Linked DNA regions of Pelodiscus sinensis. The protein of the gene in region 2 interacts with the protein of the main gene of each other region in a pairwise test. Links are inferred from orthologs where the notes say so. Each region holds a gene or a part of one and is shown on either strand. Other genes may lie near its edges.

Region 1 (6,906 bases), on a different chromosome or scaffold from region 2:
TTTGTACTTGGCAAGGTACTGGATATGCAATCAGTGTCTTACCTGCTAGGAACTCTTAGTATTGCAGAGAAGGTCTTTTCCTCATATGTTAAGACATCAACAGGCAAGGCTGCACCAACCTATGCACAAACAGGGCACTACTGTTAAATGAGCCTTAGTCACTGCTTTTACATCAGTTTATGAATGTCTGAGTTCCAGGTTCTCCAACAGAAATTATTAGAACAACATTGTAATGTCCAGCTTTTATAGAGCCCTTTTCATTCAAAGATCTCAAAGCACTTTACAAAGCATCATTATCACAATTTTATAGCCGGCAAAACTCAAGCAATAAGGGGATATGACTTGCTGCACCAGCAAATCAGTGGCGAGACCAAGAATAAATCCTAGGACCCCAAGCCCCAGTCCAATGAGCTATATTTTCTGCTTGCCTGCGTCTCCTGCTAAAATTAAGAAACAACAACTAGTCCTGCAGCACCTTGGAAACTAACAACAAATGTAGCGAGTATCATGAGCGGCTGTGGGCACCCACGAAATGCATCGTATCACCTGCATTTGTCGTCAGTCCCAAGGTGCTGCAGGCCCCCGTGTGGTGAGCCGCAGACGGCCAGGCCCCCCGAGAGCGGCTGGCATTGCCTGAGCCCGGTGACTCGCCGAAAGGAAGCCCAGGCCTGTGTGCGCACTGCCGGGAGCAGCCCGAAGGGCGGGGCCTCACCTCGCCGTGCAGCTCCCGCAGCGCCGACAGGACGAGCTGCTTGAAGGGCGCGGCGCTCAGCGCGACTCCGCTCTCGGGGCCGTCCCTGCAAAGCAGCGCGGGGCGTTACCACGGGCTACGGAAAACGCGCGCCAGCCACGTGACCGGGCGTGTCACGTGTCTCGGAGTCCGCTAAAACACCGTCCGACCCCCGCCATTGGGGCTCCGTTCCGCCGCCAGACGGACGCGCCCGCTGGCCAATCGCCAGCTGCGGTTTCTCGGAAGGGCGGGCTACTGACGCTGCGGCCCAATGGGCGGCGCCTCGGACCGACTTGGCAGCGAAGCGGATTGTAGTCGCAGACGGGGCCTGTGCTACAGCTACGCTCTGCGCATGCGCAGCCTGAAGCCCCGCTAGGCGCTTCGCGCTCTTTCGATTTCCTGCAGGTGCGGAAGCGGCCGGCGCCCGCGGGGCCCTAGCGCCGACCTCTCCCTCCCCCACCGCTGCCCGCGGGGCCCTAGCGCCGGCCTCTCCCTCCCCCCCCGCTGCCCGCGGGGCCCTAGCGCCGACCTCTCCCTCCCCCCCCCGCTGCCCGCGGGGCCCTAGCGCCGGCCTCTCCCTCCCCCCCCCGCTGCCCGCGGGGCCCTAGCGCCGGCCTCTCCCTCCCCCCCCCGCTGCCCGCGGGGCCCTAGCGCCGGCCTCTCCCTCCCCCCCCGCTGCCCGCGGGGCCCTAGCGCCGGCCTCTCCCTCCCCCCTCGCTGCCCGCGGGGCCCTAGCGCCGGCCTCTCCCTCCCCCCCCCCCGCTGCCCGCGGGGCCCTAGCGCCGGCCTCTCCCTCCCCCCCCCGCTGCCCGCGGGGCCCTAGCGCCGACCTCTCCCTCCCCCCCCCGCTGCCCGCGGGGCCCTAGCGCCGGCCTCTCCCTCCCCCCCCCCGCTGCCCGCGGGGCCCTAGCGCCGGCCTCTCCCTCCCCCCCCGCTGCCCGCGGGGCCCTAGCGCCGGCCTCTCCCTCCCCCCCCCGCTGCCCGCGGGGCCCTAGCGCCGGCCTCTCCCTCCCCCCCCCCCCCGCTGCCCGCGGGGCCCTAGCGCCGGCCTCTCCCTCCCCCCCCGCTGCCCGCGGGGCCCTAGCGCCGGCCTCTCCCTCCCCCCCCGCTGCCCGCGGGGCCCTAGCGCCGACCTCTCCCTCCCCCCCCCGCTGCCCGCGGGGCCCTAGCGCCGACCTCTCCCTTCCCCCCGCTGCCCGCGGGGCCCTAGCGCCGGCCTCTCCCTCCCCCCCCCCCCCCGCTGCCCGCGGGGCCCTAGCGCCGGCCTCTCCCTCCCCCCCCCCCCCGCTGCCCGCGGGGCCCTAGCGCCGACCTCTCCCTCCCCCCCCCCGCTGCCCGCGGGGCCCTAGCGCCGACCTCTCCCTCCCCCCCCCGCTGCCCGCGGGGCCCTAGCGCCGACCTCTCCCTTCCCCCCGCTGCCCGCGGGGCCCTAGCGCCGGCCTCTCCCTCCCCCCCCCCCCCCGCTGCCCGCGGGGCCCTAGCGCCGGCCTCTCCCTCCCCCCCCCCCCCGCTGCCCGCGGGGCCCTAGCGCCGACCTCTCCCTCCCCCCCCCCGCTGCCCGCGGGGCCCTAGCGCCGGCCTCTCCCTCCCCCCCCCCGCTGCCCGCGGGGCCCTAGCGCCGGCCTCTCCCTCCCCCCCCCCCCCCGCTGCCCGCGGGGCCCTAGCGCCGGCCTCTCCCTCCCCCCCGCTGCCCGCGGGGCCCAGCGCCGCCCGGCTGTCTTCGTAGCCTTTGGCAGGTGGGCGCGGCCCGTGGGCGGTACTTACAGGCGGACCCGCAGGTAGTGGTGCGGCGACGCGCTGCGCAGCACGATCCGCTCGAAGGCGGCAGGCTGGGGCCCGCGCCCCTCCCCCGCCCCCGCCATCTCGTGCCCAGCTCCCCCGCCGGCCCGCGAGCGCAGCGCTGGGGGGGAGGGAGCGTCACGGGCACGCGCCGCACTCGAACAGGCGCGGCCCAGCCAATCAGCGAGCAGCTCCTCCTTTTCCAGGCCAACGGCGCGCGCTGGGCAGCGGCTCCGGAAGTGCGCGTGCGCGATGCTCCACAGATGAAAGTGCGGGGCTCCCTGCCCCAAGCTCGCGTTGCCATGGGGACGTGGCGCGCGGGGGCCCGGGCCTAGCTCGCAGTTTGCCCCTCGCTGCGCGGTCACTTCGCCTCAGCCTGCGCGAGTGGGGCCCAGCCCGGGGCTAGGGCCCGGCCTCCCGGCGCTCGGGTGACTAGAGGGGCCGCGGACATGCTCCTCCCGGATGGCAGCGGGGCCGTTAGCGGCTTGCCCGGCGGCGAGAGCCCGTAGCCCGGCGCAGGGGAACCGCCGTTACTGGTACAGCCGGGGGCTGGGTCTTTTCTTAGCGGAGCCTGATGGAGGCTGCACGATCCCAGCGGGTGAGGGGGGGGCCCTGCGTTGCGCAGCCAGGCCGCATGACTTGAGTGAGTAACCTGACTTCTCCCTTGTCACAGTGCAGGGCTGGGCGCTGAGGGAACGCCCGGGAGCACGAGGGGGGGGGAGGGGTTACCCCGCACCACGGAGCCCATTGACAGGACTGATCTAACGCAGGTTCGGGCTACAGCATTGACCCGCTGCTGACTCAAGTGAATCAGCATCAGCAGCTGTGTCAAACCACAGGCAACTTGAACACTGCGAGCATTAAGCTCCATGACTTTCATCCTACATTGACACAAAGCCAGCTCTGGGCTGTGGCTCAGTCTCTGATTGTGAAGGATCCCATCCCATACAGTAACAAAGGTTAGGTTCTGTGCATGGTAGCAGTCTGGTACCATTGACCGTTTCTCCATACTTTAGCACTGCCAATATCACCCAGCAGACTCTAACATCACAAAAATGTAAAAAACAACCAGGTGTCATACAGCACCTTAAAGACTATCAAAACGTGGATAGTATTACGAGCTTTTGTGGGCACAACTCACTTCTTCCCAATAGCACATATTCCTGTTGCGAGACTGGCAGACACTCCTCTTTCTAGATGGCCAGCAGTGCCTGCACATCAGCTTCAGGCTGTTGGGAAGGCCTGAGATAGGTGGTAAATACAGCAGAAAAAAAAAATCAGAAGTGCTTTTAGAAGGCGGCGGCCTCTGTGAAAATAGGTCACAGCAGAGCTCTATATTGATTGGATAGGAAGTGCCTCCTTTACAGGGAAGTTCAGATAATAGATCATATAGACAGCCTAATGATAATGGGAATTATAATGAGAGTAATATTTGCATCACTGGGCCTATTGCATTTGTAGTGCCTGCCCTCTCTGGCTTAGCTTTCTCATTTATAACCTCTAAAAGACCCGCAGCATCCGAAACCCTGCCTGCAGCCCACCATGCTCTTCCTGGTGCTCCTCACTGGGGCACACCAGCTGACTTTCACATGTCAGCCACAAATGCAGGGCAGGTAACTTTAGAAATGATCTCACCCTAAGACTAGTTTTGTTTTACGAATCTGTGTTCTGCACTGTTCTTGATACACCAGCAGTGCTCAAATGATGTCAGAAAGCCAATTGCACCATTTTACTATGTATTGTAGCAACAATAGCAGGGAGCTGGTTTTATCCATAGCAAGAATATGCACAAAGGTGTAATCTTAATGCTTCAATTGGGTCCTCTCACCAAATAGTAAAATTCTGTGGTTGGGGAATTTTATAACTGGTTTTACTGTGTCAAGACGACAAAACCATTTTCAGCAGACCACTGACAATACTAACTTTACCACAGTACCTCCAGCAGTCATACTAGTAATTTAGCTTGCTCCTTTGTCACTAGATCCATAAATGCTCATCTGGAGTAAGTTAAAACACACACAGAGGATTGTACCAGGAAGGCTGGACACGACATGTCAGCATTTTATTAACCAAAAGTGAAGCTGAACCCCAGAATGGTATATTTTTTAAAACCATAAGCTTATATGGCAGGTATTATTTTTCCACTGTCAAAATTATAGTGCAAGAATCAATCTATGCAATCATTCATCCTTTAAGAATCAAATTCTAGTGGTAAAATGAGTTAAAATATGGGCCTCCCAATGAATCGATAAAATACATTTAATTCTATACAACAGACCAATTTGCAGAACTGATTTATGGAACTCTCCTGGGCGAAAGACCTTTAAGCACTTGGAGCCTTGAGGTAGCATCTTTATGCAGAATTTAATTTTTTCTGAGTGGAGGAAAACATTGGTAGCACATCTTTAGCTCCAGCCAGGCTAAGTGGATTTCAGTAATTCTCTTATGAGCTTAGTGGCTTTCTTTTGCATCTTTAAATACTGATGTAACACTATAGCCTGTAAAGAGAGAAACTACAAGGAAGGCCTCTGGAAATAAAGCATATGGTTGAAGCAACTGAAAAGAAGTAATTATAATAAGAACAAAAGGTAACTGAAGTGAAAAAACCCAAAACATTTGTATTTTGGCAAGACTGGTTTACAAATACATGTTAAGATCTAGAGTCCCAACATCAGCTAACTGAAAAGAAAAGAGAATGTGACATTCAAAGGGGGTTTTCTTTTTCTTCTCTGCAATACTGCACTTTGTTTCTGTTTTGTTAAGAGACAGCTTTTTTTGTACATTGTGAAACCTGTGCTTTGACGTTAAACAGAAATGCCGTATGCCAGGACACTTGACCACTGAAAGCTCCTCTCATTGACTTCACAACAATCACAAGCAGAGAATCGGAAATACGACAGATATTTCTCTAAATCTCAGGTACACCATCCTCTTACCCACTTTGCTGCTGAGTTCTTTTATTAAACTAGTGCTCTCTCCACTACCAAATGCTGAGAATCCATGGCAGATTTACTGAAGACAGAGCAATACCAAGAGAGAAACTCACATCTATTAGAGACGTTAAAACAAAGTGATTAAAAAGTCAACAGTGGCTGCAGAAAGACAGGGATGTGGCGATGCAGCCAAATCACTATTAGCCAATGTCTCAAAGTCTGTTCTCTCTCACTACTTTCAAGCACTTTTTGTCCTTTATTTATGCTCTAGATGGCTAGCCAAAGGTGCTAGTTACATTCCATGGGTCACTTCTCTCTATCTTACTGTCCCCAAAAAACTACAAAGCACTTTGGTGAAAACAAACCAGACCAGCCACACAAATCCCAAATGATGCCCTTTAAGCTGATGATCCCCTCACCACCTGCCCTTAAAGGTTCATACTCTCTGCTCAAATAATTAAGTTGATCACTTGCATAATACCACAATGTCCCATCAGACATTGGGGGTGACATGCTGTGTGTGATAATGCCACTCTACTGTGTGCAGGGAGCAGAGAGATTAGTAACATTTTATAACTTATTCTCCCTGCGTGGGACCTTTAGCTTTCTGAGTCCATGGCCTCATGTTCCCTCCATCTACTCCTGTCTCAATCTCCTTCTCCTGCCTTCTATACCTATTAAAATCATTCCATGCAGAGTTTCCTTTAAACCTTAACAAAGGTACCCAGAGACCTTGCTTCCTTTTGGCTAGGAGATTCAGTTCAGTTTTACAAGGTTTGCATATTCTGAGGCACAGAGCCTTATATTCAGAGGACAAAGTTGTATAGCCAAAAATGCTACACTCCAGTGGATACAAGGGAGGGCCATCTGAGGAAGTGTTCAAATAGGAAGGACCAAAACTGGCTGAGGATATTTATTCAGAGAGATCTTCTTTAGTTCACGTGACAGCTTAACCTGTGCCAACAAAAAAAAAAAACCCAAAAAACAACCCCCCCCCGGCAAAAAAACCACAAAACAAACCAACCCACCCCACAACAACAAAAACACTCAGATGGGTTTGGAGACCAGCTTGTGTCTGGGTTACCTGGACTGGCTTGGGAGTCTAAGTCTACTTTTGAATCCTAATGTCTCAGTTACCAGCATGAAGGCCTGACAATTATTTTTTAAAGTTCTACAATTAAAAAAAACTACTGACTGTCTTTGGTGTTAAACTTCAGAAGCATGAATGAAATTCCAGTTCCTGCTGCTTTTTTGGCCTTTCAAAACTTATTCTAAAATAGAGAAAACACATTGTGCTAGGAATGGAGGCAGTAAGAAGAGCAACTATATAACTGTGTCAGGGCTATAACATTGTGGCACAGTTTGATCAGTGGGATTCCTTACAAACCAGTCCATCATCTCAAAGCATGATGCAATCTGCCGTTACTAGAAAACATCAATATAGACTCAGCCTGATACAGATCC
Region 2 (7,031 bases):
GCAGTAGATGTTTGCCCTCCATCTGTGAAATTGGAGCAAATCCAATTGTATCTTAGCGCTTGGCTGTATACAATAGATTGAGAAATGTGTCTGAGATGAAAGTTAGATGCATGAAGGTAAGTGTAGCAGTTAGTAGGTTTCCCGTATAGGATGGTGGAAATTTGTCCATCATTTAATTGTACTGTAGTGTCAAGAAAGTGGATTTCTCGTGTGGACTGATCCAGGCTGAGATTGATGGTTGGGTGGAAGTTGTTGAAATCCTTGTGAAATTCTTCCAGGGTCTCTTTCCCATGGATCCATGTGATGAAGATGTCATTGATGTCGCGTAAGTAAAGTAAGGGTGATGGGGGCGAGAACAGAGGAAACGCTGTTCAAGGTCAGCCATAAAGATGTTGGCATATTGTGGTGCCATGCACATGCCCATGGCTGTGCCACTGACTTATGGCTGCTGTCCTGCAAACAATTATGCAGATGCTGAATTGTAAGAACACACACAGTAGTCCCATGGAAGTCAGTAAGACGACTTGCACCATAATGTTAGAGCACATACACAAGAGCTTCTAGTACTAGTGCCTCAGGATATGTCTCTTCTCAGGGGAAAAAAAGACCCCAAACACATACAAAAGCATCCCACTGCAAAGAGTCTTGGGGTATATCTATGCTACAATTAGAAACCCACAGCTTGCCTGTGCCAGCTGACTTAGGCCATGTCTACACTTACATAGCTGTGCTGCTGTAAGAGTGTTCATGTAGCTGTATTATGTTGACAGGATAGAGGTCTTCTGTTGATATCATAAAACCAACTACTGCTGCTCTCTGAACTATGTCAGCTGGAGAGTGTCTCTCACCAACACAGCACTGTGGATATGAGCACTTATGCTGGCAAAACTTAGCCATTCACAGGGGTGTTATTTTCATACCTCTGAGTGACAAAAGGTTTACTGATGTAAGTACTAATGTAGACATGGCCATGGACTTGTGGGGCTCAGACAAAGTTGTTTAGTTGCAGTATAGACATTTGGGTTCAAGCTGCCTGAGCTCTGGCACCCTTCTACCCTACAGGGTCCTAGGATTCAACCTGGGGATATAAAATCATACACAAAAACAAAAACAGTGTAACCAACCAAAATTCTATCAGTTCCCAGTCAAACGTTTACTCTGACACACAAGGCTATGGAAGGCTACCGGAGGAGCACCTGTCACCAGGGTCTTACCTGATGGCCCCACATCTAAGGCTCTGCCCTCAGTAGGCATCCTGGTGTGCAAGGGGTCCCAGCTGCTCGCCCCCCAGCTGCTGGCAACGCCAGGATGCCAAGTGGCAGCAGAATCACAGGTACAGAGCCAGTAGCCAGCATCCCAGGCCGCAGCAGCGGATGATTGACAGACCCCAGCCGTCAGGCCAGAGCCCAGCTGTGGGGTTCATAGACCAGAGGGGCTGGCAGCCCACAGGAACCTGGGGTTCTACGATGCCAGGTGCAGCAGCCAGGAAAGCAAGTAACCGTAGCACCCCAGGCATGGCAGCAGCAGAACCCTGGGCACCAGACTGGCAGCTAGGAGGAGCTTCAGGCACACAGCTGGTAGGTGGGATCCTAGGCATTGTTAAACCATTAACAGAAACTGATAAATCTCATCTTATCAGTTAACCCATTAATCTCCTACTTCCCTAAATCCAGCGTAAGCCTGAATGTCTAGATCACAAATATAAACAGCCCTTTACCCTAAGGTGAGAGTCAACTGGCACAGACCAGCTGGACTTAAAACTGTGGTGTAGTTATACAATCAGCGCACAGGTCAACTAACGCAGGCTCCTGCTGCAGAGCTAAAAATAGTAATATAAACATTCAGACTCTAGCTCCAGCCCAAAATCCAGTGAGACTCTCCACCTTGCTGGCTTCAGAGTTAGGGCTCCAGCCTGTGCTGAGAAAGCTACATAACAAAAAAGTCCCAAGCTGGGCAGGACAGAGAGGTTTTACTAGAAATAGTGCACATCTACCATGACAGAAAGGATACGCTTAAACCGGCTTATTCATTGGAACTATCACAACAATTAGCCAAAGCGACGAGGAGTCCTGTGGCACCTTATAGACTAACTGAAGTGTAGGAGCATAAGCTTTCGTGGGCAAAGACCCACTTCGTCAGATGCAGTGGGTCTTTGCCCACGAAAGCTTATGCTCCTACACTTCAGTTAGTCTATAAGGTGCCACAGGACTCCTCGTCGCTTTTGCAGATTCAGACTAACACGGCTACCCCTCTGATACTTAACAATTAGCCAGGCTATCTTTCCAGCAGAGGTAAAAGTAAGCAGGTACACCCTGATGCACAGCTCTTCAGCAAGAGAAGGCTAAGCTGTGGCAAAAGCCAGCTGGGAGCTATTTAAAGAGCTGGCAGGGACGGGACAGTACCTGTAAGAAATTTTAAGTTACTTCCACCCCTGCTTTCCAGTCCCACATGAGAGATGTTAACTTAATGAATGAAGTGATGCCAATTAAAGATGCCAATGTGTAGACGACTACAGATTAACCGATAAGTCTAGGCTTCTCAGTTGATCCTGCTGACCACGCACATTTCCTTCCCACCTTGCTTCCTCTGTATCAGAGACAGCATGGAGGGTGGGGGCCCATAGAGAGCCAGCTCCCCATGAGAACTGGATCTGTCTTCTCACTTCTGTGCTGCACAACACTCAGGCTGCTGCTGCCTGCCCAAGAGCCAGGGGTTACCAACGGGGCGGGGAGCAGCGCTCTCCGCCCCAAGACAGGCCGGCAATGGGGGGACCCCTGCACGCGAGCTACCGCTGGATAGCGCCCACCCCGGCTCTTGCACGGGCAGCAGCCAATGGGCGACTCGCCCCGAGCCCGCAGCGCCCGGCAGGCTGGGAGAGCCGCGCGGACCTGGCCGGCGCCTGGGGGGGAGGGGGTGGTACTCACGGTGCGCGGCGGCCTCCAGCAAATTCTGCAGCGACTTGAGGTCCGGCGCGCGCGGGACGTTCAGATCCGCAAACACGGCCATGCTGCCACCACGTGGTGCCAGCAGCCTCAGCGGCAGGGCGGCGCTGGCACCTCCACGTAGGCTGCGCCCAAGGCATGCTGGGGGTTGTAGTTTGCACCCCCAGCCTCCCGCGCTGCTGTGGCGGACGGGCGGTGCGTGCGGGCCCGTGCAACCCAGCCTTCCCAGCTGCGCCCAGGGGCAGGTTCCCTGTGCTCGCACGCCCCGGGGCAGCCAGCCTGGGCCTGGGGTTCGCAGCCTCGCAGCATGGCCCCTGCCTAGGGATGTGAAGGACTCGTCGACTATCCCATAAGCAAATGCTTATGGGATACACCACAAGCTAGTCAACTAGTCACTTCCCCCATTGCTGTCTCCCATCAGAAAGAGGCAGAAAGGGAGGGGGGAAGTGGAGGGGGTACTTCCAAGCGGCAGCCGCTGCTTGAAACCTGGAGCCAGGTCCCCATGGTGTTTCAAAGTGGCAGCATCGCGTGGAGCCCGGGATATGAGAGAGAGAGAGAGAGAGAGAGAGAGAGAGAGAGTGTGTGTGTGTGTGTGTGTGTGTATATATATATAGAGAGAGAGAGAGAGAGAGAGAGAGAGAGCCAGGTCCCCATGGTCCCCATGGTGTTTCAAAGTGGCAGCATCGCGTGGAGCCCGGGATGTGAGAGTGTGTGTGTTTGTGGTGTATAGGCTACGTTATTCCTGCTTCCTGCCCTACATGGATCCCTGAGCTAGTGGTGCTGCTACCCTCAGCTGCAGAGACACATTGCAAAGAAGCCCAGAAAAGTGAATCCCAGATTTTCTGAACCCTGATAGCCCCCTGAAAGCCCCCTAACAAATGACATGGCTCTTAGCTACATTGTAGCTCCATATATATGTAAAAATGTTGTAGAGGTGGAATCCTTTTCAGAAACAATGTTGAAACAAGGTGAGGTCTTTATTTCCGGGAGAGAGCAACATTGTAGCCACTAGATGGAGCAGCTATATTATTCAACTGAATTATTACCAATGAAATTATTTGAGGCATCATCAGAACATTGAAAATGTCAACAAAAGGGGATAATTGTTTTTAAGATACAGCATTTTCTGACAGATTACGTTTAAAATGTAATCTGTTGTTTATAAATAACTATATAGGTTTTACATATTCTATTAATACATTTTAACCACTGTTAGTGAACCTCACCCTCAAACTAGCATTCAAATTGACAGAAAATATCAGGATGCATCTGTCAAAGTGGTTTTTACCCACAAAAGCTTATGCCCAAATAAATATCATAGAATCATAGAACTGGAAGAGATCTCAGAAGGTCATCAAGTCCAGCCCCCTGTTCTAGGCAGGACCAATCCCAACTAAATCAACCCAGCCAGGGCTTTGACAACTCAAGACTTAAACACCTCTAGAGATGGAGACTCCACTACTTCCCTAGGTAACCCATTCCAGTGTTTCACAACTAAATCAACCCAGCCAGGGCTTTGTCAACTCAAGACTTAAACACCTCTAGAGATGGAGACTCCACTACTTCCCTAGGTAACCCATTCCAGTGTTTCACAACTCTCCTAGTGAAATAGTTTTTCCTAATATCCAACCTGGACCTCTCCCACCCCAACTTGAGACCATTGCTCCTTGTTCTGCCATCTGTCACCACTGAGAACAGCCTCTCTCCATCCTCTTTGGAAGCTCCCTTCAGGAAGTTGAAGGCTGCTATCAAATCCCCCCTCACTCTTCACTTCTCCAGACTAAACAGACCCAACTCTGTCAGCCTTTCCTCATAGGTCATATGCTCCAACCCCCTAATCATTTTGGTTGCCCTCTGCTGGACCCTCTCTAATGCGTCCACATCCTTTTTGTAGTGGGGGGCCCAGAACTGGACACAATACTCCACATGTGGCCTCACCAGAGCCGAATAAAGGGGAATAATGACATCTCTGGATCTGCTGGCAATGCTCCTCTTAATGCAACCTACTAGGCCATTAGTCTACAAGGGCACACTATTGACTCATATCCAGCTTCTCATTCACTGTAACCCCCAGGTCCTTTTCTGCAGAACTACTACTTAGCTGGTTGATCCCCAGCCTGTAACAATGCTTGGGATTCTTCCGTCCCAAGTGCAGGATTCTGCACTTGTCCTTGTTGAACCTCTTCAGATTTCTTGTGGCCCAATCCTCCAATTTGTCTAAGTCACTCTGGACCTTATCTCTGCCCTCAAGAGTATCTACCTCTCCCCCTAGCTTACTGTCATCTGCAAAATTGCTGAGGGTGCAATCTTTCCCCTCATCCAGGTCATTAATAAAGATATTGATCAAAACCGGTCCTAGAACTGAACCTTGGGGCACTCCGCTAGAAACCGACCACCATCCTGACATTGACCCGTTGATCACTACCCGCTGGGCCCGGCCTTCTAGCCAGCTTTCTATCCATCTTATAGTCCATTTATCCAATCCATATACCCTTAACTTGCTGGCAAGAATATTGTGGGAGACTGTATCAAAAGCCTTGCTAAAGTCAAGGTATATCACATCCACTGACTTTCCCATGTCCACATAGCCAGTTACCTCACCATAGAAGCTAATCAGATTGGTCAGGCACGACTTGCCCTTTGTGAATCCATGCTGACTATTCCTAATCACTTTCCTCTCTTCCAAGTGCCTCAAAATGGATTCCTTAAGGATCCCTTCCATGATTTTTCCAGGAACCAGGTAAGGGTGACCATGCTATAGTTCCCTGGATTGTCCTTCTTCCCTTTTTTGAAGATGGGCACTACATTTGCCTTTTTCCAGTCATCTGGGATCTCTCCTGATCTCCATGACTTTTCAAAGATAATGGCCAGAGGCTCCTCAATGACATTTGCCAACTCCCTCAGCACCCTCGGATGCATTAAGTCTGGACCCATGGATTTGTGTACATTTAGCTTTTCTAAATAGTTCCTTATCTGTTCTTTATCCACCAAGGGCTGTTGTTCTTCATCCCATCTTGTGTCATTTAGCGCATTAGTCTGGGAACCAATCTTGTCCGTGAATACAGAGGCAAAGAAAGCATTGAGTACTTCAGCTTTCCCCACATCATCTGTCACTAGGTTACTCCATCCAGTAGGGGCCCCACGCCCTATCTGATCACCTTCTTCTTGCTAACATGCCTGTAGAAACCTTTCTTATTATCCTTCACATCCTCTGCCAGTCGCAATTCCATTTGCATTTTTGCTTTCCTGATAACCCCCCGGCATTCTCGAGCTGTACATTTAAACCCTGGTCCCTGGTCATTTGTCCAAGTTTCCACTTTTTGAAAGCTCCCTTTTTGTGCTTAAGTTCACCAAGGATTTCCCCTGTAAGCCAATCCAGTCTCATACCATGTTTGCCTCTCTTGCTATGCATCGGGATGGTTTTTTGCTGTGCCTTCAATAAGGCTTCTTTAAAATACTGCCAGCTGTCCTGGACTCCTTTCCCCTTTATGTTAGCATCCCAGGGGATTCTACCCATCAGGTCTCTGAGGGAGTCAAAATCTGCTTTTCTGAAGTCCAAAGTGTGTATTTTACTACTCTCTTTTCTTCCTTTGGTCAGGATCCTGAAATCTACCATCTCATGATAACTGCTTCCCATGTTGTCACCCACCTCTACTTCCCCTATTAGTTCCTCCCTGTTTGTGAGCAGGTCAAGCTGCACATGGCTGCTGGTCGGATCCTTCAGCACTTGTACCAAGAAGTTATCCCCAACATTCTCCCAAAACGTCCTGGTTTGCCTGTGTACTGCCGTATTGGTTTCCCAACAGATGTCAGGGTGATTAAAGTCCCCCACAAGAACCAGGGCCTGCAATCTGGAAGCTGGTATAGATGTACCCTTAGTCTTTAATGTGTTCGAAGAAAGCCACATCTACCTCATCCACCTGATTCGGTGGCCTGTAGCAGACACCAACCACAACATCACTGCTGTTGTTTGTACCTCTAAACTTAACCTGTAGACTCTCATCAGGTTTTTCTCCCTCAGTATACTGGAGTTCAGAGCAATCATAGTGCTCTCTTACGTATAGTGCAACTCCTTCTCCCCCCTGCCTG

The links.
Region 1: the proteins of RPP30 (region 2) and RPP14 interact in binary tests that used the Homo sapiens proteins (3 or more experiments, as listed by UniProt). The link is inferred for Pelodiscus sinensis from reciprocal best matches to the Homo sapiens genes RPP30 and RPP14.

What each region holds. Positions count from the first base shown.
Region 1 is NC_134721.1:380,410-387,315, reverse strand, and holds the start of RPP14 (ribonuclease P protein subunit p14), read right to left. Parts: upstream 3,093-6,906; 5' UTR 2,593-3,092; coding exon 2,495-2,592; intron 798-2,494; coding exon 713-797; intron 120-712; coding exon 43-119; intron 1-42. UniProt on the Homo sapiens protein: Component of ribonuclease P, a ribonucleoprotein complex that generates mature tRNA molecules by cleaving their 5'-ends.
Region 2 is NC_134718.1:40,357,601-40,364,631, reverse strand, and holds the start of RPP30 (ribonuclease P protein subunit p30), read right to left. Parts: upstream 3,083-7,031; 5' UTR 3,007-3,082; coding exon 2,925-3,006; intron 1,532-2,924; exon of another isoform or gene 1,255-1,531; coding exon of another isoform or gene 1,215-1,254; intron 1,079-1,214; exon of another isoform or gene 973-1,078; coding exon of another isoform or gene 921-972; intron 1-920. UniProt on the Homo sapiens protein: Component of ribonuclease P, a ribonucleoprotein complex that generates mature tRNA molecules by cleaving their 5'-ends. Also a component of the MRP ribonuclease complex, which cleaves pre-rRNA sequences.